2 linked regions of the Styela clava genome follow. The main gene of each other region encodes a partner of the protein of the gene in region 2 in a complex. Links are inferred from orthologs where the notes say so. Each region holds a gene or a part of one and is shown on either strand. Other genes may lie near its edges. The genes, in order: exosome complex component RRP40-like and exosome complex component 10-like.

Region 1 (11,593 bases), on a different chromosome or scaffold from region 2:
AAATTCGTGATTTGATACTCGCCGGCGACCACCGACGGACATTGCTTCCATCATTTATTTGTAATTATTTAACGACTAGAAAGTCTGAATTTCATATTTTCAATGATGATACCAAAGTCAAACTTTCCTCGGAAATTCGAAGAGCAATTTACTGAGACTTCTTGACAATGTTTTTTCTCTTGAGCTAAGATCGTAATTTTTTATGACCCGGAGTCTATTGTCGATTTTCCCCGTTAAAAACTAATGACACTATATTTACGATTGTGGAGAAAAGTACATCTGTACATTTGTGTCCGTAAACTTTATCTGATACAATTTAGGTATTCAGAATGATCATTTTTGTTAGTCGTTTTATTTCTCTACGGTAATAGCTCTCTCAAACTTGTCCATCTTGCGCCCCACCTCAAAAATAACTAGCTAACAATAAGCTACAAATAACAGAGATATAACAGGGCGAAAGAAAGTACGTTTTATTAAAAAAAAAAAATAACACGTTGAAAATAGGTGGATGGAACATAAATATCCAGTATAAATATCCAAAATAAGGCGGGCAGGATCCAATCTAACAACCATAATTTTATTTAGCTTCACGCCACTTCAAAAAACTGTCAACACGCCCCCTGCTTGAGAGTCACTGCTTTCTTTTACCTACCTATGTTGATTTCACGAAATAATCAGTTCCATGCAGGCAAGCAATTTTACTGATGTCGTAATCAATCGCATGAAATTAAACCCATACCATGTAGGTTGACAAACTGTGATTCAATTTTTTTATTTTATTGGAAAACATACATTTTAAAAAAATATCATGAATAATTGTAAAAAGCGATTTCGCTTGATTTTATGAAAACAATGCAGCTGTCGTTGAAAAATCCAAAAATTTGTTTGGAAATCAAAACTTAGATTCAAACCAAGGCACATTCTAATTCAAAATTTCACAAACTAGATATTTCAAAATGGATTGCCTGATTATTGTAAATGTATTAGAAAAAATTCCTTTGTTCCATGGCGCAAATATTGAATATTTTAAGTTGAATAAAAATGTACTGCTTTTCTGCCACGAGGAAAAGATTTACAGTGGTTATATTTTTGAACCAAGTACTGGCTTAGAAATCATTTAGATGTATTTTATAGTACCATTTCCCCCAACCATATACAAGCAAAGCTGTTATTGTATAATTAATGCTTCAATTAGGAAACATATAATATGTGCAAATAAAATCGGATTACATTTGTTATATTTTTGAACCAAATACTGGCTTAGATGTATTTTATAGTACCATTTCCACCATCCATAATGTAAGCAAGGCTGTTATTTGTAGAATTATTGCTCCAATTAGGAAACATCATATAATAATATGTGCAAATAAAATCAGACACACTCAAGAAGCCATTTCTTTTTTATAAACATTATCGAGAAAATTTTTCACTTCAGTATGGAATAGGATTAAATCATCCAAATAAGCAGGGTGCATGCCATTTGGGACCTCCACTATCCTACTACCAGGAATATGGGCCATGAGATTACTAGTTTTAGCACCATGCTCATCTAATGATCCATAGTAAATCAGAGCAGGAATGTGTAGTTGTTCATATTCTTCTTTCTTGTAATGATTACCATTAATTGGTGCAATCGGTACAATGCCACGTAGTTCTGCTCTATGTTTAAACATGAATGGCAAAGCATATCTGCCACTCATGGAAGGACAAATAATAACAGGCCTGTCTGTTTGAGGTAATGCTTTAATTAACTTTGACAAAAAAGCATCTTCATGATCTATGCGTTTGTCTGCTTTTGTCTTTCCGAAACCAGGAAGATCAACAGCAATAGGAAAGTAACCAGATTTCGCAAGAAACTGTAACGTTCCTAGTGACTTCCATGTGTTTGCTTCATAGGCCGCACCATGTAATAATAACACTGCAAACCTTGGTGGTGGCTGATTCTTTACCGTACTCATTGCATATGAATAAAACACATTGATTCCATCAATTAAAACAAAATCTTCAACATATTCAACGTCAAGTCCTATTTCTGGATCGACTTCGTCCTTTTCATTATCAGCCAACTCAGGTCCTAATTTATCAAGTTTCTGTTTTGCTTTGATCATCGATAGTGCATCCACTTGAACTGAGAAACAATAGAAAAAATAGTTTTGAATTTACACTTATTGTGGTCAAAACGGGGCCAACTAAGTTGGCATTGCAGCTTACACATCTTTGGTTTAAAACCTTTGCCCACATACCTACCGAGCGTGTGATAAGTTAGGTAGGTAATGTTGATCCAGAATGAATTATGTTCTTTCAAAAATGAAGGTTCATACATAACAGGGGCTGATTATAGAGGGCCTTGTTGGAGCAAATAGGCCTGAAATAAGTGTCATACATAATGTTATGTCATTAAAGATAAGAATTCAGTGACAATTTTTGTCAAAGATATAGATCTTTCAGGTTAAATATTTTTACACCTGATTTCTTGCTGTCTGATTCATTCTGGACAAACAACAATACAAATTTTGTATAGGTTACTTATAAATGTATTGTGGATGACCTAAACCAATATATAATAAATCTTACTTGCTGAATCGCTTTGAATTTCATCACTGTTGGAGTATAAAATATAACATATACTTGAGAGGATTAATAAAGTCAATACCACTCCTCGTTTATTTACCTCCGCACTCATGGTTGCGTTGTTTATTTTACAATATGCCAAGCATTTATATTTAAACACCTGAATTACATCTTGAAAGTGAAAAATAAGACAGTTAACCTAGAAATATTGACAGTGTTAAAAAAGGCGCATTTACCTCTTATGGGAGAAAGAATTTTGCATGACCTTAAAGAATATTAAAAGCCAATTATAAGAACATAATCAGCTTTCAAGGTTACAAAGGGTATTTTTTATTCAAAAATCAGCAAAACAGTTACTTAGACTGTTAGGAGTGTTGCAATACGCATGAGTTGTTTGATGTTTTTGTTATTCTATGGATAACCCTGTTGTTCAGATAATATCTGAAAAAATGGAATATTTCAATTATATGACTATGAACTTATAATGGGTACATTCTCACTAACACCTAATTTTAGCTTCTTGATTGAAACTTGAGGGCAGTCAAACCACGACATCAACCTTTTCAAAGAGAATTCGCAAATTGAATATGATTGATTATCTGTTATTTATCCAATCAGGAAGCTAAATATAACACCCTATTCATAAACAACATATCTATCCATGTAAGGTATCTCGAAAAGAATTCTAAAACAGGTTCTGAACATAATTACTGTAGTTTAAGAGACATTGGTATGCCCACACAAATTAGCAATAACAACAAGAATTAATTAAAAAATTCCCGCAGGATGGTAATGTTGTTTAACAACAGGTATACATGTAACATGATACAAAGCATGAAACGATGAAATAAATATTAGCATCACAACAAGCATGTAAAATAGGTGCAACATGCATATGCTATAATACAGAGAATTTAGCTTTTAAAAAAATTCTTTCTCCTTGATTATCGCATTCTCAATTGTATGTTTTTTTTACAGTTCCTGTATGCAAGCATCTCAATGTTCCATTACATGGAGATCGTACATGCAAAATGATTGATTTACCAAGAGGAAGAGCTCTTCGTTGTACCACTCAATGTGACAATGGATATAAACTTGTTGGCAGTTCGTACAACACTTGCATGGAAAAGGGAATTTGGTCGGGCCAGCCTGCTGTTTGCAAAGGTAATTAAACTTACTGAATTTTTTCATGTATGTTTGTCCAAACTAATAAGCTTTTAACTAAAAGTGAAAAAGTATTGACAGAAAATCCATAATGACCACTGATGTTATAAGAGCCCTACATAGGTTTATCCCAGAAACAGAGCATATTTGCATAAATAGAACAAATTTGCCATTATATTAACCACACTGACAATGAAAAGTTGCCGTGACTTTACTCTGCCTTGGCTATGATATGATTATGTAAAGATTGGTTATATAACCAACTCGTATGTAAGATGAATGCTTGAAACTACTTAAATATGACATTGGATATTTGAACACAATGACAATACTCCAGTTCAATCAGCATTATTAATTGTCATTCTTTATTGTCACCAGTTACTTTGTAGAAAAAGGCTCGTTTCTCATTTTGTTAACGAGTATTTAAGCAGTTTGCCAGTTGTCTGCTGTATTTGAACTTAGTGATTCTAGAATTTGTTCATTTGTCATATATTCAGCTGTTGTTATCATATTCATTATAGCAATAATATGTTTATCACTGTGGCTTGTTAGGTGAATTTTACCATTCATTCCTATTAGGGTCTCAAAACCAAAATATTTCCCCATTTCTGGCAACAAAACACAATCAGGGGATAAGATTTTCCTAACTAGATTAAGTGGAACTGTTATCAACAATCCATTAGAAGGTACAGGACCCATTCCATTTGCTTTTCCTGAGCTTTGATCAATGCAACTCAATTCCGGCTCCATGTCTTTGTTTGCAGATATTAGTTTTCCAAATACTATATCTCCATTTACAAGATTCGGTCGATTTCGTTTCGTAGCACCCTCAAAAAATAAATTATTAAGAACGACATAGTCGCTACTTCCAATGTCTACTTTGTAAGCATCACCAATTTTACCAACAATAACCCCCAAAACGTTTTCACCCTTAATTGGAACATAACGTTTCTGATGACTGTCTATCCAAAACATGCTAGGCTGTTTGTGTCGTAGAATCCCAGACTTACAAACGACAATACTGTCATTCCCTTGTCTAAGACCAGGTCCGAGTTTTACTCTTTCATTTTTGCCGATTAAATCCAATACTTGTTCTGTTATGATGTCACCAGGCATGACAACACTTGCATCTAACTCTTTGGCTGGACATTTCATTTTTAACAGTGAACTTAAATTAGGCTAGGTAAGAATAATACTATATGGAAGGAAGAAAATTGGTGTTAATAAAACCAAAGATCAAACGGGTAAGAACAATGTGGTCCGGAATAATCGGTCCGATTTAAAAAAAAAAATGAATCTTTGCTATTTCGACTAGGTGATTATACAATTTTATGAGTGGTCTTCTGGTTTAATAATGCACAAAATTTTGCCTTTTTCATCTAATATTGAAAATGTATATTAATTTCATTGACTCTTGTTCAGAATATATCAAATGGTATATAATACAGTAATATTTCTTTCAAATTTTAATTGAAAAAAATACCTAGTCCAGAAGTTTCCAAACGTTTTGTTTGTGAGACGCCAAATTATCAGGGACAAAACTTACGGCACGCTCTCACGAAAAAAAAATGCTGCCTTTGATAAAACTCAATTTTGTAATAGTTAATGTCTACTTTATGCCTTTAAACTTTGTAAAATGGTAGGCATGAGGAATAAAGGCAAAAAGTCAACTCTTCTTCTTCAGCTCTGCCTGATTTTTTTTTAAAAAAGTTTAAAAATCTCTCATGTTCGCTAAACTCAGTTCAGCAGATCAAAAAAAACTAAAGCTCGTGAAATTGCATGTCTATTGTTATGTAACAATAGAGGCAGACACTACTTAACAGAAAGTAAATAACATAGAAACTTGTAAAATGATTTTATTGATTCAGATACACAGCATTTAAAATAGGAAACAATGGAACATTTATAATAAATTTACTATGTAAAATGGCCGTGGTTCGCCATATGGATAAGCCATCTCATCGCCCTTCCTCTCCCCCGGGATAAATATGTAAATCCTATCCTAAAATATTCAATCATATATTAGTTATGTTTAACACAATTCTGTTAATTTTTAATTATTGTATGACAGTGATGAATATGGGCAATAAGCCACAACAGACTAAAATAGAGCTGGTGTAATATAGAACCATACATTTATACAATCCTATCAGCATATGATAAGAGTACTTACAGACTTAAGAGTACCGGTACAGTTGAGATAATACTGCTTACAACATCTGGTCTGGCGTTATTACTCAACAATTTGATAAAATCCCACAAACTATTATATGCTTAATACTGAACATAATTTTTAATTTCTGAAATACATAAATACACCTTCAGACCTTATAATACAGCAAAATATTACTGACATATCAGTTTGGCATAAAATAGAGACTTTTCATCTCTGCAGAAATACCTTTATGTAAAGCCCCCGCGGCTAAAACTATATTCTGTGTTATTTGATATGTAGCCACGATTTTACCAGTAGATTAACTTCACATATATCTACATACATTACAGCCTGTGTAGCTGATAAAACCGACCGCTTTTCCCAGCGTCTAACAACGTTATACGTTTACTGAACAGCCGAGTATCTTCGATAACTATTGTAAATAATAACGACTCGCTTCGCTTCGACAAACATTAATTGTGCCAATGCGGTGGCGCAGAACAACCACGTGTGTGCGAAGCCACGCCTTTTGATGACTTGCTGGTACTGTTTGCGGTCGATGTTGATCTACCTTACCGCGTATTGCGTGTTTTACCGTATAATGTTTTTGTTGGATTTAATAAAACGCTTTCCTAATTTTCGTTACGAATGAAAATATTTTTTGTCAATTGTTAACCGATGCTGATGTTTATTACGTCAAGACGATCAATTGCTGAATTTTTGTGAGATACACACAATTTAAACTAAAATGAGGATTATTTATTACTTAATTTTTATTCGCTGCTATGTAATAGAACAATAATAGATAAAAATAACAGAAGTTTTGTTCACACCTCAGATTACTCTAATTTGTGTCTCTTTGTAGCAGCAATTCTCATACTCATTGGTGGGGCGATACTCCAATGAAACGTTCCAGAACCCATGTGAAATAGTTTTATTGTCAGGATTGCATTAACTTATATATATATATATATCAGTGGCGGCGCGTCAATAGAGCCAACCGGGGCAATGCCGCAATGCCCCGGTTGTTTTTTCGGTATAATAAAAAATATTCGAAAAATACCTCAATATCGGTTGCACAGACTGTCTACACTAGCCATATTCTCCCGACATGGTTCATTTTTCGCTCGCAAAGCCTTCGCCGAACGTCGACGGGGCGACTCCGATTTTGCCCGGGTTGCTCATTGTATATCGTATTCTCTCTTTTATCTTTCACTCGCCGCGTTTGTCTCGTTTGTTTTCTGTTTCTTTTACTAAATCATCGGGGCTAGCCCCGAAATTATGACGACACAATGCCGACGTTCTTACAACAACGTGTTGACATATTCACGCATTCCTTCTCGTTCGTTGGTTGCTTGAAGAGTTGATAGTTTCCTCGCCTTCGTTTTTGTCGCTTGTTTCGCTATTTGAATCAGTTAGAGACCTTGAGTCCATTTGCTTTCGATTTTCCACATTCCTTTTGAGCTCCTCACTTCTTTCCGGCTTCGCATTTCTTAGCCTTAGACCTCATAATGAAAAAGGTTGATGCACTACTTCGCACTCCGTTTTCGCAGCTGCCGCTGGAACAAAAATTAGAGGTACAACGTCTTGGGCCTTATCAACCAAAAAATTGTTCACTGGAACAATCCCATGACGGAGGAAAGCGTCGGCGTACATTCTGCGCAGAAACTTGGTATAAAAAACACGAATGGTTGTGTTACAGCGAGGACAAAAATGCACTTTTTTGTTTTTATTGCCTACTTTTTGCTACCGCCCGTGACTCACGTTGGTGTAAATTTGGTTTTGGAGATCTTAAACATCTTTCCGAGCGTGCCAGGGATCATCAATCTTCTATGGAGCATCTGGACAATGCAGTAAAATACCGAACATTCGGAAATGTTAATATTGCAGCACAGTTGGATGAAGGACGCGCGGTTTCTATTCGTCGGCACAACCAAAACGTCGAGAAAAACCGCCATGTTCTCGGTCGATTGATAGATGTTTTGAAGTTCATTGGTTGTCACGAGCTGTCCCTCCGTGGGCACGATGATGGGTATTTTTGGATAAAATAAACTATGTTTATATTTATTAATCCCTTGACTTGGACCGGTTTTAAAGACACTTTCTTATCGTTAAAAATTGTCGCTTTTGCCGATTGGTTGTTACCGATGGAATGATTTTTATACTCATAAAATGATAAGAGAACTTACAGCGCTCATCCTGCCCCCGTAGATGGGGGTGACTTGGTCCCGCAGTAGCTTGCCCCGGTTGTCAAAATGACCACGCGCCGCCACTGATATATATATATATATACCGTATATGCAGAAGCAAACCTAATATTGACAAAAATAAAAGATCTATAATGAAAAGTGTAGCAAGTTTGATAAAAGTGGCAAAACTAATAGGCATTTTATTTAATCTGAACGATATATATATATATATACAATGAAAATAGACTCGGAAACTCGCGGAACCCCTGGAATGTACTTTCAAGTCAACCCCAGTTGGAAAGCGCTAGTCTATAGTTTGTTTAATTAGTTTAATTTAGCATTGCATTTGGCATCATCTCGAACAGATTTTTTTTGTAATCTGTGCCACGATGAACATTACTTCAAACTACGAAAGAATTGAATTTTTCACGATCCAATGTCCTATAAACTGCTTTCTATATCACCGCCTCGGTCGAAGAAAATTCTTGTTTACATTTCCTCTTAAAGATGCATACTAGTCTACAATAATCAATCATTATTCTTTGACTCATTACAGCGGCGTCAACTCGCCAGACAAAGAAGATTCGGTTTAAATTCCGGGAACATCAAACACTACCTTGCGGAGAAGTCTACGGCCTCGCATCCTTCCGTAAAAATGGAGTCGTTTATCTAGTTGCTGGCGACAAGGTATGAAGAAACGTCTGAGTAATTCGACCCCCTTATATTACAATCGAGTTGTCATTGACAGCTCAGACTATTGTCAATGTTTTTGAAAGACATTTGTTTATTCCATACATAGCTCGGTCATCAATATACTTATATAGGCTAATCTATAGTCATCTTGACATCCTTAACAAATTTTATTATTGGACACAAAATGGGCCTATAGATCGTTTTGGTATTTTTGTTGTTATGAAAAAAATCGCTTTTCTCTCCAATTACTGAACGAATTCAGTGGTTAAAGATTGTATTTGTTGTAAGAAGGCTATCAGTCTTATTTATTTCACAAGGTTCTGTGAGCCCTTTGTGATTCTTTTTTTGTGTGGTGTGTGTGTGTGTGTGATGACGTCATTAAAATTAAAAATTGCGCATCTTGTGGCGGTTCCGCGTTCGCATTGGTAGCTTTCTGAAGACTGTGGTACCGGTAGTCTGCTGCTATTATTACGTATCGATTTTAATCGCTAAGTATGTTGATAGGTATTTGTTTGTCTGTCTGTCTGTTAGATGCACGCGATATCTCACGAAAGCGAGATTGAATCTGCTCCAGATTTTGCATGTGCATTCATCATATGTCGTACCAGAAGCTTATTGATTTTGGATGAATTATGTCGTATTATTAGCGACTTATTAATTAATTAGTGATCGAACACAAGGTGTAACTATGGAGTAAGAGCGCTGTTTTGGGGAATCGCCTAACTTTCGATCGATAAGTCTTCGGTCTCTGACCGATATTCTCGTTTTCGTAAATTTACCTCTTCCCCACTGGTTCAGGTCTGACTACTTGGGTCGTGCTTTTGTCTTACGATTGCTTCCACCTTCATCTGCATCTTTTCTTTACAGAGTGGAAACGAAGTCAAAATATTTCGATGGGGAGACGAAGGCTTCGTCGACACTCCTTTTCAGACTTTCCACTATTCATCACCTGAAATCGTCGAAATTCTTACTGCCCCAGACGGTAGAGTTTGGTTGATGGTCGGAGGTGCTGGACCGGTTACCATGTTCAGGTAAATGGAAGATGTTACATATAAAATTTTTGAGTGTGCCCAGGTCATTGAGATTCAATCGCAACAATACATAGAATATGAGGAGTGATTTTTCCTGGCGATGGAAGTGCTGTCTCGTTAACGAAATATTTTACATTCGACAACAAATGTTTATCGCAATATTCCATAAATACAAGTCTAAATTGGAATGGTAATAAATTGTCCCTACGAACGGATGTATTTATATATACAGCGTGTCCATGAATTCCCTTTACAGTTTCAATTTTGGTATAAAGTCAGTAATCAATATATCTTAACTAGGTTTGTTTGTTTTTTAATCAGTAATTATTTAAGTATTTTTACTTCATTCAATACATCTGTGAGGGCCAGAACAATCTATGGTATCGATTACTTCACTTTGCAATTTGAAACAATGAAGACTTTATGGTCACCCTTTATATATATACGAGAAAAATCTTGCCTAAAATTGTTACAGTTTTCCTGCGATGGAGCATTTGACCGTGGAAAAATACTAAAATATAGTACTTGTATATATAATATCTTGTAACTTTCCAATTCGTATGTTTGATAAATATTTTCTGTTTTTCGTGCTCTCCTACTTAGACTCGGCGAAGATAACAGATTCAGACGTTCACACACAACGCAATTGTTTGACCAAACAAGACACGGCGATACGATTGGCTTCGCCGAATTGCAAGGAGAATTTTATAGATGCTACGGTAGAAATAGAAGAGAAACTCCTGTGATTGTTGTTCATAAACTTCAAGATAAGCCAACACCTGGTATGTAGATTAAAAATAGAAGGTTTGAGTGATGTTAAGATTAGTGGAGACATTGTCACGAAAGTGAAACCATCTGCAAAATAGGACAGACAATTCACTCGAAATTTACCAAAACGATATATATATATATTATACGTATCCAAATTCGATTTTGCTCAAAGCAAGTTGACGCGCGCCTAGAGTTACAGGTGAGTGACTACCAAAAAGCCGCGAAATACTCACTATTGATTTTAATATACTTATTACAATGTGCATACAAGTATGACTATATAAAAACATCCATCTAAATGAGATTAATGGGAACATTTTTTGACAAAAAAATTTCTTCGTTTGTAGAACAAACAGACAGTAAATGGATGAGAGCTCGGTGCCAACCGAGTATGGCGGCTGAAAATATTTCTTAGAGGACAAGAGGATTGCCGGACACATACCGTCATATTGTGCTTTACGTAACCGCTGGTCTATTTAATCTTCCCCCGCCATTAACTCCATGCATCTGAAATACATGACTGTTTTCTTTGACGCCACTGGATTGATTCTGTGTTTTGGATTGATTGAGACTTTAGTGTAATGTATTTTCTTTTTTCTATAGGTGGTGGCGACGTCTTCCGACGTATTATGAGGAAAAAGTTGCCCGGAGAAAGAGTCCACCAGTGTTCTATGTATACAGAGGGTAATTCTCTTTATACAGTCGCCACTCTCAATAAACCAGATGGACAGGGTCGTATCATGATTGGACATTTGACCAGAAACAGAATGAAAATCGTTGATGTAATTTCAGGAAAACAACTGAAAGAAGTTTCAGACAGTTTTGGATTCACCATAGATGGTGGTCGTTACATCGCAGTGTCACAGTCGACGGAAAATGGCAAATGTCTTATTTATAAGCGACAATGGCGCAATTCAAAGCCCGTCGAAACTGGTTAAGGCTTCTCATAAAAAGTGACGCATAGTGACGTTAACTTACGCATGATTTACGCAGGAGTTTGCGTGGCCCAGCCGCATCAG
Region 2 (12,028 bases):
ACCGCTCATAAAAACGACTGCCTGCTGTAGCTTGGAATTCTATGAAATTTTGACATAATTTAGATAAAATGAACAACTATTATCTGGTATTTGAATTTTTTCATTAGCGCATAAATTTCCCAACATTCGACGCTTTTAAAAATTACGCTCCAGTTATACGTAGTGCAAATTATTGATATTGTCTACGGACACCAATAAAATTTATATGGACGTGTGTATTTCTTGTCTAACTTGATACTTACCAATTTTTATGAAGTTCGTACAATCAGAACATCGTTAATTATTACCCACAATGAACCACTGTCAAACTATCATGCACAACTCCAGCGTTTATTTGCGACGATCTTTCGGCGGTGTCAATGACTGTTGCCAGAATAAAATCCTGAAATTATCTCAATATACCATAGATGTGACGCACATCGAAAGATTAGTGATTGATATGTGTTATTTTTCCATATTTAGTACAGTTCTTATCAAAAAAGTAAGACAATCATTATGGAAAAAATTGGCTGTCGGGCAGTACTAAAATTCCGATATCTCCGTTATTTCTTGACCGTTTATTCCAAACTTGGTATTGTTTTCTATTTTTACTCAGATCTTTCCACTGGAGCAGTTTTTATTTAAATCGGATGAACTTCCATTTTTTTGTAACATACCTACATGAATATCCGCATTAAAGCAGTACAAAAGTTAGTGTGGCTTTTGAAATTGGAGCAGTACGCGAGGGATTACAGTACTGTTAGCACAAAATGCACATTCGACGTTTATTTTAGCACGAAAAACAAACAGTTTCGTCGAAAGCAAGCGCCACGAGTGTACAAGTGTATCGCAGAAAACGTTACGTACTGGTAGCATTCAAAGTCGCAAAAACGAAGTTTTGTTTACAACCACAACTGAAAATCTGTCAGGGTGACAAAAGTGTCTGAGCGGATGCGGAAAGGCCTATTATTACGTCACTTTTCTGCATCTTGCCGATTGGCCAATGTTACGAAATAAACAAGGACGACGATGCTCGTGAAAATCTTCCTTGGAAAAAAATTTAGCCATTTTTGCGTGTTATTGCGGACCGGATAAAATGACGGCCGTAGTTTGGTGACCCCTGATCTAACATACCATTAATTATTTTATAATTTTCATATATATATATATATAAAAATACAGCTCGTTTGTTATCTTATTCTATAACGGTACGCCTTAACATTTTGTGCAATATCAATTTAGGCATTGCCATATTTTCATCTTCGATGAATTGTGGGCTTGCTATAACCTTCGATTAAAATCATGCTTGTTAAAGTCCAGAGGCTGTATTTCTGCCCGTCTTGAAGTTACGAGAAAAGCATATTTACATAACACTTTGTTTTTCACATACATGCATTTCGGTATTGATTCATCATGAAATAGAATGATTTGTTTGATTGATTGCTGTTTAAACAATTGAATGAGATGGTTCCATAATATGTATTTATGTCTTGACTAGTAGAAAGGATATTGAGTTTGTCATCAGTGCTAAAAAAGATTGTCTGTAATGGAATCTGGGCCTGGCTTCCTTGAGAATGGCTGATAAGATGGATCAAATATACCTTGAGCTTTGTCTATCGTAAATGTCGTGAAAAAAATAATCATGGGTTACAGACAGTGTTCCCTCTAAGGTGTGCGCGTGCACACAGCTTACAGAGGCTGCGCACACGCATAGATTTACTGCGCACAGACGTATTTCGATGTAATGTAACAAATGCTCGGTTGGCAGGTTGAGAAAGTTTGTTGTTGGCCCACTTATTACCCGGTTAGAACGCCAAAATTTCTTTATTGGTTTTTGCACAAATATTAGTGATTTCCAAAAAAATGCGCACACCAAAAATAATTTCTGCGCACATATACTACAAAAAATTAGAAGGAACATTGGTTACAGCTGCTGGACTCGGCTTGAAAGCAGGTATTCGTCTTATACGCCCACAAGCAAACAAATTTCGAATCCAGATGGGGTTGTAGTTTGCTGCATAGTTAAACTGCTTCCTGAATAATTAATTACTTAACGTTATCTTATATTGCAATTCCGGATTCGAATACAGGCCCAACATCAGTAATACCTAATTCCATTAGGATTCTATACTCTGAACAAGGCTCTTGACAAGCTGACACTAAACACATGGATCTCTATTTTTTGGTAGATGTGGGAGCATGGAGCGAGACCAACAAACAACAGCGCTCCAGAACTATGTGTACCAATATGGAGGAAATAATTTTGTTCGTCTACTTTACATCAAGTCGTGTAAAGAGACTGAACCCCTATGGGCAGGGTGGATATTCACTTGGATAACAAAGACAGTCCCGAACTAAAATAAAGAAAATTGAGGCCTAATCCGGTACACATACTACGGGAGTATCCAAACAAAACCTCGACTTTACCATAGGTTATCCAGCTTCGTGTCCCTTAGCCCCTGCGTCATACCCCATGACTCGCCAAGACAAAAATTAATGTCTATCAGAAAACCCCCCTTATCCTGATATCCAAAACTACACAATACCAACAGGGTATGTTAATACTTTGCCATACTATCCACAATGCGACATGAAGGAAAAATTGTAAATATTTCCTTTATATTTGGCCAAAAAGACAGTGAATTTCATTAAATGAACTAAATCAGTGCATGCAAAAATTTTGGCAGTCGAGAAGAGTAGGTGAATCCAAATTAAAATTTTTTGAACAGAGAAATATCTGTACCACTTATTATCTTCCAGACGGATCTGATATAGCATCTCTCCATATTCACTACTATTCAGCACATTACGGACAGCTGTGAATTACATTAATTCCATAATAGAATATGACAGTAGGTTGATAATGTCCGAAAATGTCATTTTTTATGATAATGGAATCTTTTATAATGCTCTTGGGTATATTCAAATGGTTGTATATCCGAATTTACTGCAAGTTTCTTCGCTTTCTTTTTGGCATGTCTCGACATCTTTTTATCTTGATTTGGTTGTGGGTGACGCTTCTGTCCATGAACTTGTGGTAAATTACTTAATATAATAACATCTTCTTCTTGTTGCTTTTGTTTTTGTACAACTTTCTTCTCTTCTGCTTGCTCTTGTTTATCACCATGAAGATTTTTCAATTTCCAAGCATATTCAAGACTCAGCATTGTTTTCAAGCTCACATCGTCAAGAGATGTTATACATTTTGTTGGTGCGTTTGGCAAATCATTTTTAGGGGGAAAATACTTTGAAAATGGATCCCAATTTGCTTCTTGCATATGACTGGTTGGATTACTAGATTGACCTGTAAGTAATGGTTGAGGACGACCGTCGTTACAGAGAAATGACGATTGTGGAGCAGTCGATACTTGCGGCGGTTTATGTTTAGTGTTTGGTGTAGAAAGATCAAAATTAGATAAGTCATGTGGGCAAGTCAATATATCATCATAAGCATCTTCATCAGGTTTTGCTGGAACGGGTACTTCAGTCGGTGTGCTGATATGTGATGCATCTGTCTTCTTACCAGAGCCTTTTGCTCTTGCTTCCAAAACTAACTGATGAATTGCATGAACATGTTGACGGACAAGAGGTGGTACTGGATTGCAACATGCAAGTACTCCTTGTGCCTCTCTGGGCATGATTTCAGCAATTTGAAAAAGCATATGATTAGGTAAAACGTAACCAGGGCTTTCATCCTCTTGTCTTGCCATCGTGTCTCTCCACTCAAAAAGCAATTTCAGAAGTTCAAGTTGCTTGTTATTAAGTTGTTTTCTGCTTTTCCGTCTCTCATATAATTTAAGATGTGATGTAGGCGTAAGTAGAAACTTCTCATATTTTCGTAGGCAAACATCACGACTTCTATATAGAGTATTGAGGAGTCTTGTGGTACCAGTACCAGAAGCTTGACCTGTGGCACCCAAGTCCAGAAGTTCATTTTTCATTATATCATACACATATAACAAATAATGAGTATCCTCTTGCGCATACTTTCTCATTTCCTCTGGTATCGGCCGGATTCTCCAATCCGCAAGTTGATATTTTTTATCTGCATGAACATCACAATACTTTTGCAACAAATAATCAAGAGAAAAATGCCCTAAACACATTTCTCTTGCGGCCTGACCAGTATCAAACATGTTAACAACATACACTCCAAAATCGCGCTGCAACCAATGCACATCAAAATCAGCACCATGAAATACTTTTACAATATTAGGATTTGTAAATACTTCATTGAATCTGTGAATTTCTGATCGTAGTTCTAATGTATCGATCAAAAAGTCTTTTGATCTCGACGATATTTGCATGAGACAGGTTATACCTTGGAAAGATCGATAGGAATGATGTTCCAGATCAACTGCAAATTCAGGGCAAGTTTTCAAGTGCTCAATAACATCGAGCAGTTCATTTAAATTCGTGATAACCTCGCATGGCTCTGATGGGAAAGGATCATATTTTTGTGGTTCGACTCTTTGAAGCTGCTTGTTTAAAAATTTCAAATTTGCAAGCTCCGTTTCATATGGGTGACCATATATATTTTGATCTTCTGCGTTATATTCTCTACCTTGTCTTACCAAATTGACAATGGCAAGTGAAACACCACCATCAGATGATTGTGAATGTAAATTTACTAAAGCTTTCGGTAACTGTTTCACAGCATTTGGTTTCTCTGTAATTTTTGGAACAAAAGGTAGATTACTGTTGTCAATTTTATCTTTGAATTTCGTTTGTGGCCTCATAATATTATGTGCATGGAATAATTTGAAAGTTTGTTGTTTGCCATATTTATTTTCTCTGTTCCATGACGAAACAATCGGCTTAGTTTTCGTAATGAAAACTAGAGGTTGCTGAATAACGACATCAGTATCTGGTTGTGAATTGTCCTTTTTCGGTGCAGTAGCTTGTTCTAATAATGTGGATATTTGTTCCAACATCATGTCATTTGCTTCAACAATACGATCGTAATGATCATCTACATCAACATTACCACTACTCGTTTGTCCATCAGTTTGTGGCAAAGTCTTTATTCCTTGATGATGTAGAAATGAGTTGATGTTTGATAAAATCCTTGAACCTTGTTTGTTATAGAATGCGCGAAAACCAGGAAAGCTGCTGTACAAGTCGAAATCATCTGAAGAGTGAGGCAAACTACTACTTGCTTTGATAGTTGTCATTAAAGCACTCAATACTTTTTTTGAATATTCATCAACATCACCCAAACTACCACTGGCAAAACCTTTATCAGAATTAGCATCCATTATTCTGTTATTCCTTTTAATGTTTGAAATACTGAAATAAAAAACGTATAATCAGTTACAGGCTCAATATATTTGAAGTATAGATCTACTGGTATCTGTGTACAGGTGTACGCTCAGACTGTGGTTGATTCAAGTCCGTACTGTGTACCCGTACCGTGACTTTCCTGACTCCTGCAATGCCTGACTGCAGGAAAATCTCATATCACAGTATCAGCATATCTGTGTCAGTCTGAACCGGTTAACGTTCCACCGTTTGATAGGATAGTGGATACAATACAGATAAAGATATGAATGTATGTTGTGGTTAACAGTAAAACCGTACCGTATGTCAGTACAGCAGTATGTAGCAAAATCAATTTAGCCTACAGATTCACCCAAGCCCAAGATATTCTGATATTTATTGCAGTCACTGAGCAAAGCGAATTATTCGGCTATTCTGACATTAGGCTATTAGAAAAATTATCTTCCTAACTTAGCAAGTGTGCGCTACTCTAGTTTAGAGATGCTGATTTTGAAAACGTCTCGAAGTAAAAAAATAAATAGAAAAAATCGCCAACCCGGGTAAATTACAGAATTATGAAAACATGCTCCTGCAACAAAACCAGAAATTCTCGGCAACATTACCTTTCGACCAATAGACTCAAGCACGTGCCGTTCACGAAACCGACGTCATGCCTTTTAATCTTAATCCTGCGGTAAGTACATTATGAGTTTATTTTGACTTAGTTGGAACATATATTATTAGAAGTATATGTAGAGGCTATTTGCAAAAGCATTTATTATAATTAGTGAACTGTACCAGTACCACATTTGTAAATATGAAGGGTTAGTTGGAGGCAACTCGGCAGATCTTTCATATGATAGCGAAAGTGAGGCACATACACACCGGTAAAGCAAACATTTTCACAATCAATTGATAATCATTTATTTATCAACACAATATAAGAACATTATGAGAAACATTGAATATAAAAAATCACGGTAACTAATTTTAATTGTGGGACAGATTTCGCGAGGACCCTCGTATTGCCTTCAAGCAGCGGCACTATCATTACTTCCAGTCAACACAAACTCAGGATCAGGAATCAGGATTAAAATTTTATGTTTAGATATACTTTGTGGCTGTTGAGGGGTAATATGATTAAATATAATTAATATAGTGCTCTGCCTAAAATGACCTTCCTCTCGTTTTCGAAATGCGCTCACGATTGGGATTCACTCGTGAGGAGAATTCCCCGGATGGCTTCAACACAATGGTATGGTAGATATTCAATGGCCTACGAATGGTTTGTTTGATAGCCTCAACGGTTGGCGAGAGGATTGGCGGAATCCTCACCATCGTAGGGTGGTCCTCATCCACTATCAACGCATCTTAAAAAGTTAATAGTAAACTATTTTTGTACCTGACATAGACTCGTGAACGAGCAAGTGGGCGTGGTTCGTCATATGATTTTTGGTTGAGTTGTCTTATCGGCTTTCCTCAGCTCCTGAATAAGTATGAAAGCCCTACCTAATGCAAAAATGTCTGAATGAAACGGGAGAACTTTTCAGTTGAAAACGCTAGGTTCAAAAGAATTTGAAAACAATTAACATGACTGCCAGATTTTATATAAAACCTGCTTTTATTTCTTTTTATTAAGGTGTGACTGCTCGTAATTTTTCGTTTTTAAAGTCTAGTCTAGTTTTCAGCAATCAGCAGTACTCCAAAAAGTCAAATTGTTTTGTGCTGTTTGTGCCAATTTTCTATGTATGGTGTGATTTCGAGTTCAAAAATAAACTATTGGTATATTGGGTCTGTCGCTGATTAAACTGTTTTATGATTCCAGTTGTAATAAAGTAAATAGAAATAAAGCATGAAAAGATAAGCAATGGAAAAATAACCTAAAAGGTCGCGATCAAGTCTATAAAATTACACAGAAATGTGCAAAATATGGACACTCGTAGATTTGATTAGGAGGCAGAGTTGGTTAAATATATGCGTCTGATAACATCACTGCTTTCTGAGGTGTATGTTGCTGTAATATATTATATTACTATATTTCCACTGTTCATCGACACTTTTGGTTTCTTAATGAAGTGCGTTGTCATCGTGAAATTGTTGCCACTTGAGGTCATTTTTGTAAAATTGTTCTAGTTGTTCACGGACTAGTTTTGCATGACCTTTGTTCCTGGTTTCGATGGTGCAGGTAATTGCCGCCATGTAGACGTGAGAAGGCAAAGACATTCTGTCGTGACCAATGTCTTTGATGCTGTAATGTTATGATATATGGACAGTGATTAAATCATTAAAACAAATAAACATCATGCAGCCTCCCTATATAGAATATTATAAATATACATATGCCAATCATGAAATCTTTAGATCCCATCATTCAATCGCTGGCTCAGGGGTGGACTATATATAATTATGATAATTCTCAGTTTATAATTAAAATGGATTTTAATGAATATATATATCAGAGCGTATAGTACCCGACTCTGTTAGCATTTGAAGATCATCCCTCATCATTCCCATTATCCGTACAATAAACAATAGTGGCTATTCGGCCAGACGCTATTTGGTCGTGGTGAAAATGCACTATACACCTCGAGTACCAATGTGACAACCGTTTCAAGTAAATGACATTCACATTCCACTCGAGCCCTATATATATATATATATTTATTTCTTCGAAGATAACATAAGAATCGTTTGCTCCTTCTCAAATTTGCGCACGGATCATAAAATAATATTCCAAAATCAATGCGCCATAACAATCTGTATACGCCTACTTACCTTGCTCCTAAATCAGACAACATATCTGTAAGTCTTGCCAAACCGCCAGGTCGGTCAGTCACAGCCACTAAAAATCGTGATAGCCTTCCCTCTTGTACTAATGCTCGATCTATGACATGTGTCAAGATGTTTGCATCTATATTGCCTCCACTTAATATGCATACAACTCTATGGGAAAGAAAAGGACAAATTCAGTTCGCAATTAGCACAAGTTTCGCTATCGTTAGATTTCAGGTTAATGACAAGCAAACTACTAACGCCACTGTGCAGTACTATACATATTATTAAATGAAACAATAAACACAATGAAGAATTTACTGACACATTGCACCGAAACTCACTTTTTGCCCTTTACTTCAGGTAGTTTATCGGAAAGCAATGCTGCATATCCGATTGCACCTGCTCCTTCCACCACCGATTTTTCTCCTTCCAATAAATGTAGTATGGCTGTAGTAATATACTTTTCTGGAACTGATATGAGCTTATCAATTTGTGCCGTTGCAAATGAGTTATATCCAACCTGTACAAATATTTTCAATTGCGATATTTATAAGATTCGGAAAAAGACTCAATTATTTGTGAGGCATCAATAACGACTAAAGGCATGAGTATGCCTTTTGCTAAATTCAGATATAACACACTTTTCTTATAGCCAGACAAGCGTATAACATAATTTCCTGAAGGAAATTGTTCTGAAACAATGATTTTCAGACACTCGCGCGTGAATGAATAAATGGGGAACACGGAAACTTGTGACGAAAAACCACCGGCAGACAATTCAAAGCTGAGGCACAGCACCGAAAGACGCTTAACATGATACCACTTACTCTCAAAACGTTTAATCCGTCTGCAATCGATTGCGTAGCTCCATTCATAGTACTGCAACATCTGACTGGTCGTCTGTGCTCATTGGCCGTGTGCCACCCTGGACATCGTTCTGATTCGACGCCCTTAAAATTTGAAACTTTTTATCAAGGATTTAGCGCGGCGACGACTAACCAAACATTAATTAAATGCCTGAAGAGAACAATTTCCTGCACTTGTTCATTGCATAAATAGATTTAATATAATACGAATTTGATTCAGTTAGATTTTAAACTTACAATGATCTTGACATTCGGGTTTATATATTTTGCCGCAACCGAGACTCCGGATATCAATCCACCACCACCTATCTGAACAACAATATAGTCTGCATCGGGTACGTCTTCCATAATCTCAATGCCTGCTGTCCCTTGACCAGCCAACACATCAGGATGATCGAATCTTGAAAAAAAGTATATTAAAAATGATAAAATCTCGGCGGGAAATGACGGTTATAGTATCGGTATAAATAATTCAATATTAGGTGAATATACAAGGCAGTGGACGATAATGGGCAGTAGGCTGAATTATTTGGACATTTACTAGACTATTGAGCAGTTAGAGTTAAGAGCGTTAATCAACATTAGCTTATGGTTTGGTACAGTAACGTAAATATGCAGTTTCTATCCTCATTTCAACCTCACGAACATGAGAGACCCTAATTAGACTATCAAAACATCAATGAAGATGTGGCTTCAAAGTAGTGGTATTGAGGTATACCCATCAATATAGACAAGATTTCTCTCATTTCGAAGCGTGAGAGCGCGAAATTTTGCTTCGTCAAATCTGTCTCCGTGAAGAATAACATTTGCTTCCAGGTCTTTGCAGCTATTAATCTTTGAAACAGAAAATAAAAATACTAAAAGAGCGGAAATGATAAAAAATCCAACAGAACAGCATTTATCGAGAAAGATATCGCGCAAGATAAATAAATCACTCTACATTTGTATGAATGGGGCTGTTCAAATTCAGAATACTATACTATCAAACATCTATAGCTGAGGAATTCGTGCAAGATTCAATTGTTCAAGTAATAGCGTGATGTGATTCAAGACGTATAAACGTTTGTTGATCAATAAGCTCGGTTCGAATTTCCAGTGAACTTCCGATTCCCTCTCAAGTAGTCATATAGCTATAGAAAAACTCACGTCCAAATCTGGCGAAGTTTAAATTATCCTCAAAACTGAACCTACTTTCACTAATGGTGTCGTCTTTGGCATGACCACTGTAACCGGTATACCAAGTTTTCCACCTTGATATGCCACAGATTGAGCGTGGTTACCGGCGGAGGTTGTGATTACGCCAAGCTTTCTTTGCTCTTCCGTTAAATTCATCAAGGAATTCAATGCGCCTCTATCTTTGAAACTAGAGAAAAAAAGATAAAATTATAATTACCAAATTCATTATTCAATAAAAATCATTCATGATTGAGTCAAAATAGTTAATGGTGAGTTAATGGTGGATACTCCTCTTTTGGAAAAAGTTAGGTGACTACTATAATGCAATGAGATACTGAAATCATTTATATATAGTGGTACTATAAGTTTCAGAAGGTAAGTAAAACAAATTATATTGTTAACAAGAGAGCTCGAACATATGGACACGATTTGGTATGCAATCTCACGGTAGCCTACCGGTACCGTATCGCAGCTGAGCAGCGAATTTGAACTTACGCGAAAGTGGAACCGCCACAAGAAGCGCAGCTTTTAATTTTGACGAAGTCATCACACAAAAAACAAATCCCATAGAGCCACAGAACTTTTTAAAATAAATAAAAGTAATAGCCTTCTAGCGAAAAATAAATCTTAAACCACTGAGCAAAGCAAGTCACGCGCGCACACTCAAGAGTACTGATACCCTCATCTCTGAGAAAAAGTGACTACTGAAATGATATGAGATACTAAAATTATGTACAATTATCGCAGTGCTTATCGCGCGTTAGTAATTGACGATTGGCACGAGACGTGAAGCAAAAGCTTGAAGTCAAAACATCAGGTATAAAACACAGAAGGAAAAAATTTAAATTAGAACCAACTCTGACTTGCCTTCCAGTGAATTGCATGAACTCTTTCTTGAAGTAAACGTTGCATCCTATACGATCCGATAGTCTGGTTCTCTGTTAATTAATTAATCAATTAATATGATTCTGTTAAAAAACAACACCATAGCTAATTTGAGATTGGTAATATACAATTCAAAACAAACCAATTAAGTATTATGGTTCTAACCGTACATGGAGTTCGTACCACTCCATCTTTTATTTTATCTCGGGCATCAAGTATTCTTCCAGGCGTCACTATCACTGGATTGTCTTTGTTGCAGTATGGATCTGCTAACTCTGGTATATAATCGGTATCAAGGACTTCATCCATTGATATTGTCTCGATTTCAACGTTCCTGTCAAACGAAAAGGCGTAATTGAACTTACTGTTGTGTCCAATATTTTTTTGTCATTTCTATTATAGTCGCTTTATATTCTCTTGCACCTTTTCGAGGCAACGTTTAGACTCCGTGCAACTTGGGTCCTGCGACCGAAGTACTATAACAGTTTCAAAAACTATGTTATGACTGTAATTCTACATGACCCTACCTACCGCTACCAGTCTATGTCAAATAGAGATGGGGATTGCACATTCAAATAAACTACAAAATTGAAGTTATAAAAAAAAATACCGATGCAAATCAATACGAGTTATTATAGAGATAAACAACGATTTGCATCGATTAATTTAATAATCTAATAAGAGAAACGAGCATTTTTAATCGATATTCGATTCGGAGGTATTACCACATCGTGAGCTTCACTATGGCTCGAGGTCTCTGTCAGAGCTCTGGTAAAACTGCTTATGCAACATTTAAAATTGTCTTCGATCGATGTTAGCTACCGCAGACCGAGGAGAAATCTGTGACTGCACTTGGGTGAGCAACATATGGCGGAATACTCCACGCTTTAGTAGCCACAAACACGGTTATTGTCGAGGTAGATAGCTGTATGATGGCAAACGCGCTTGTTTTGGAGTGAGATGATGGCGAAAAAATTTCTGCCGTGGCGTAGGGGATTTTTGACTCGATGGAATAATGGGTGGAATACCACAAGTACGCGTAACAGGTTTTGTGAGCTGAACCCTAGTTTGCTGAAAAGTGCGAGTCT

The links.
Region 1: exosome complex component 10-like (region 2) and exosome complex component RRP40-like share a complex: the UniProt entries of both Drosophila melanogaster proteins name them as parts of the RNA exosome complex. The link is inferred for Styela clava from reciprocal best matches to the Drosophila melanogaster genes Rrp6 and Rrp40.

The regions. Positions count from the first base shown.
Region 1 is NC_135256.1:11,219,691-11,231,283, reverse strand, and holds exosome complex component RRP40-like, read right to left. Parts: upstream 4,927-11,593; 5' UTR 4,891-4,926; coding exon 4,159-4,890; 3' UTR 3,736-4,158; coding exon of another isoform or gene 3,550-3,735; 3' UTR 2,742-3,549; downstream 1-2,741. Other genes in the region: putative protein-lysine deacylase ABHD14B, read right to left, coding at 1,383-2,128, 2,575-2,683; uncharacterized protein LOC120328953, read left to right, coding at 3,550-3,735, 8,636-8,766, 9,640-9,803, 10,407-10,585, 11,178-11,512. UniProt on the Drosophila melanogaster protein: Non-catalytic component of the RNA exosome complex which has 3'->5' exoribonuclease activity and participates in a multitude of cellular RNA processing and degradation events.
Region 2 is NC_135262.1:8,878,658-8,890,685, forward strand, and holds exosome complex component 10-like, read right to left. Parts: upstream 5,293-12,028; 5' UTR 5,238-5,292; coding exon 2,856-5,237; 3' UTR 2,582-2,855; downstream 1-2,581. Other genes in the region: L-threonine ammonia-lyase-like, read right to left, coding at 7,306-7,486, 8,014-8,181, 8,355-8,533, 8,841-8,963, 9,117-9,279, 9,598-9,713, 10,071-10,242, 10,923-10,993 and 1 more. UniProt on the Drosophila melanogaster protein: Catalytic component of the RNA exosome complex which has 3'->5' exoribonuclease activity and participates in a multitude of cellular RNA processing and degradation events.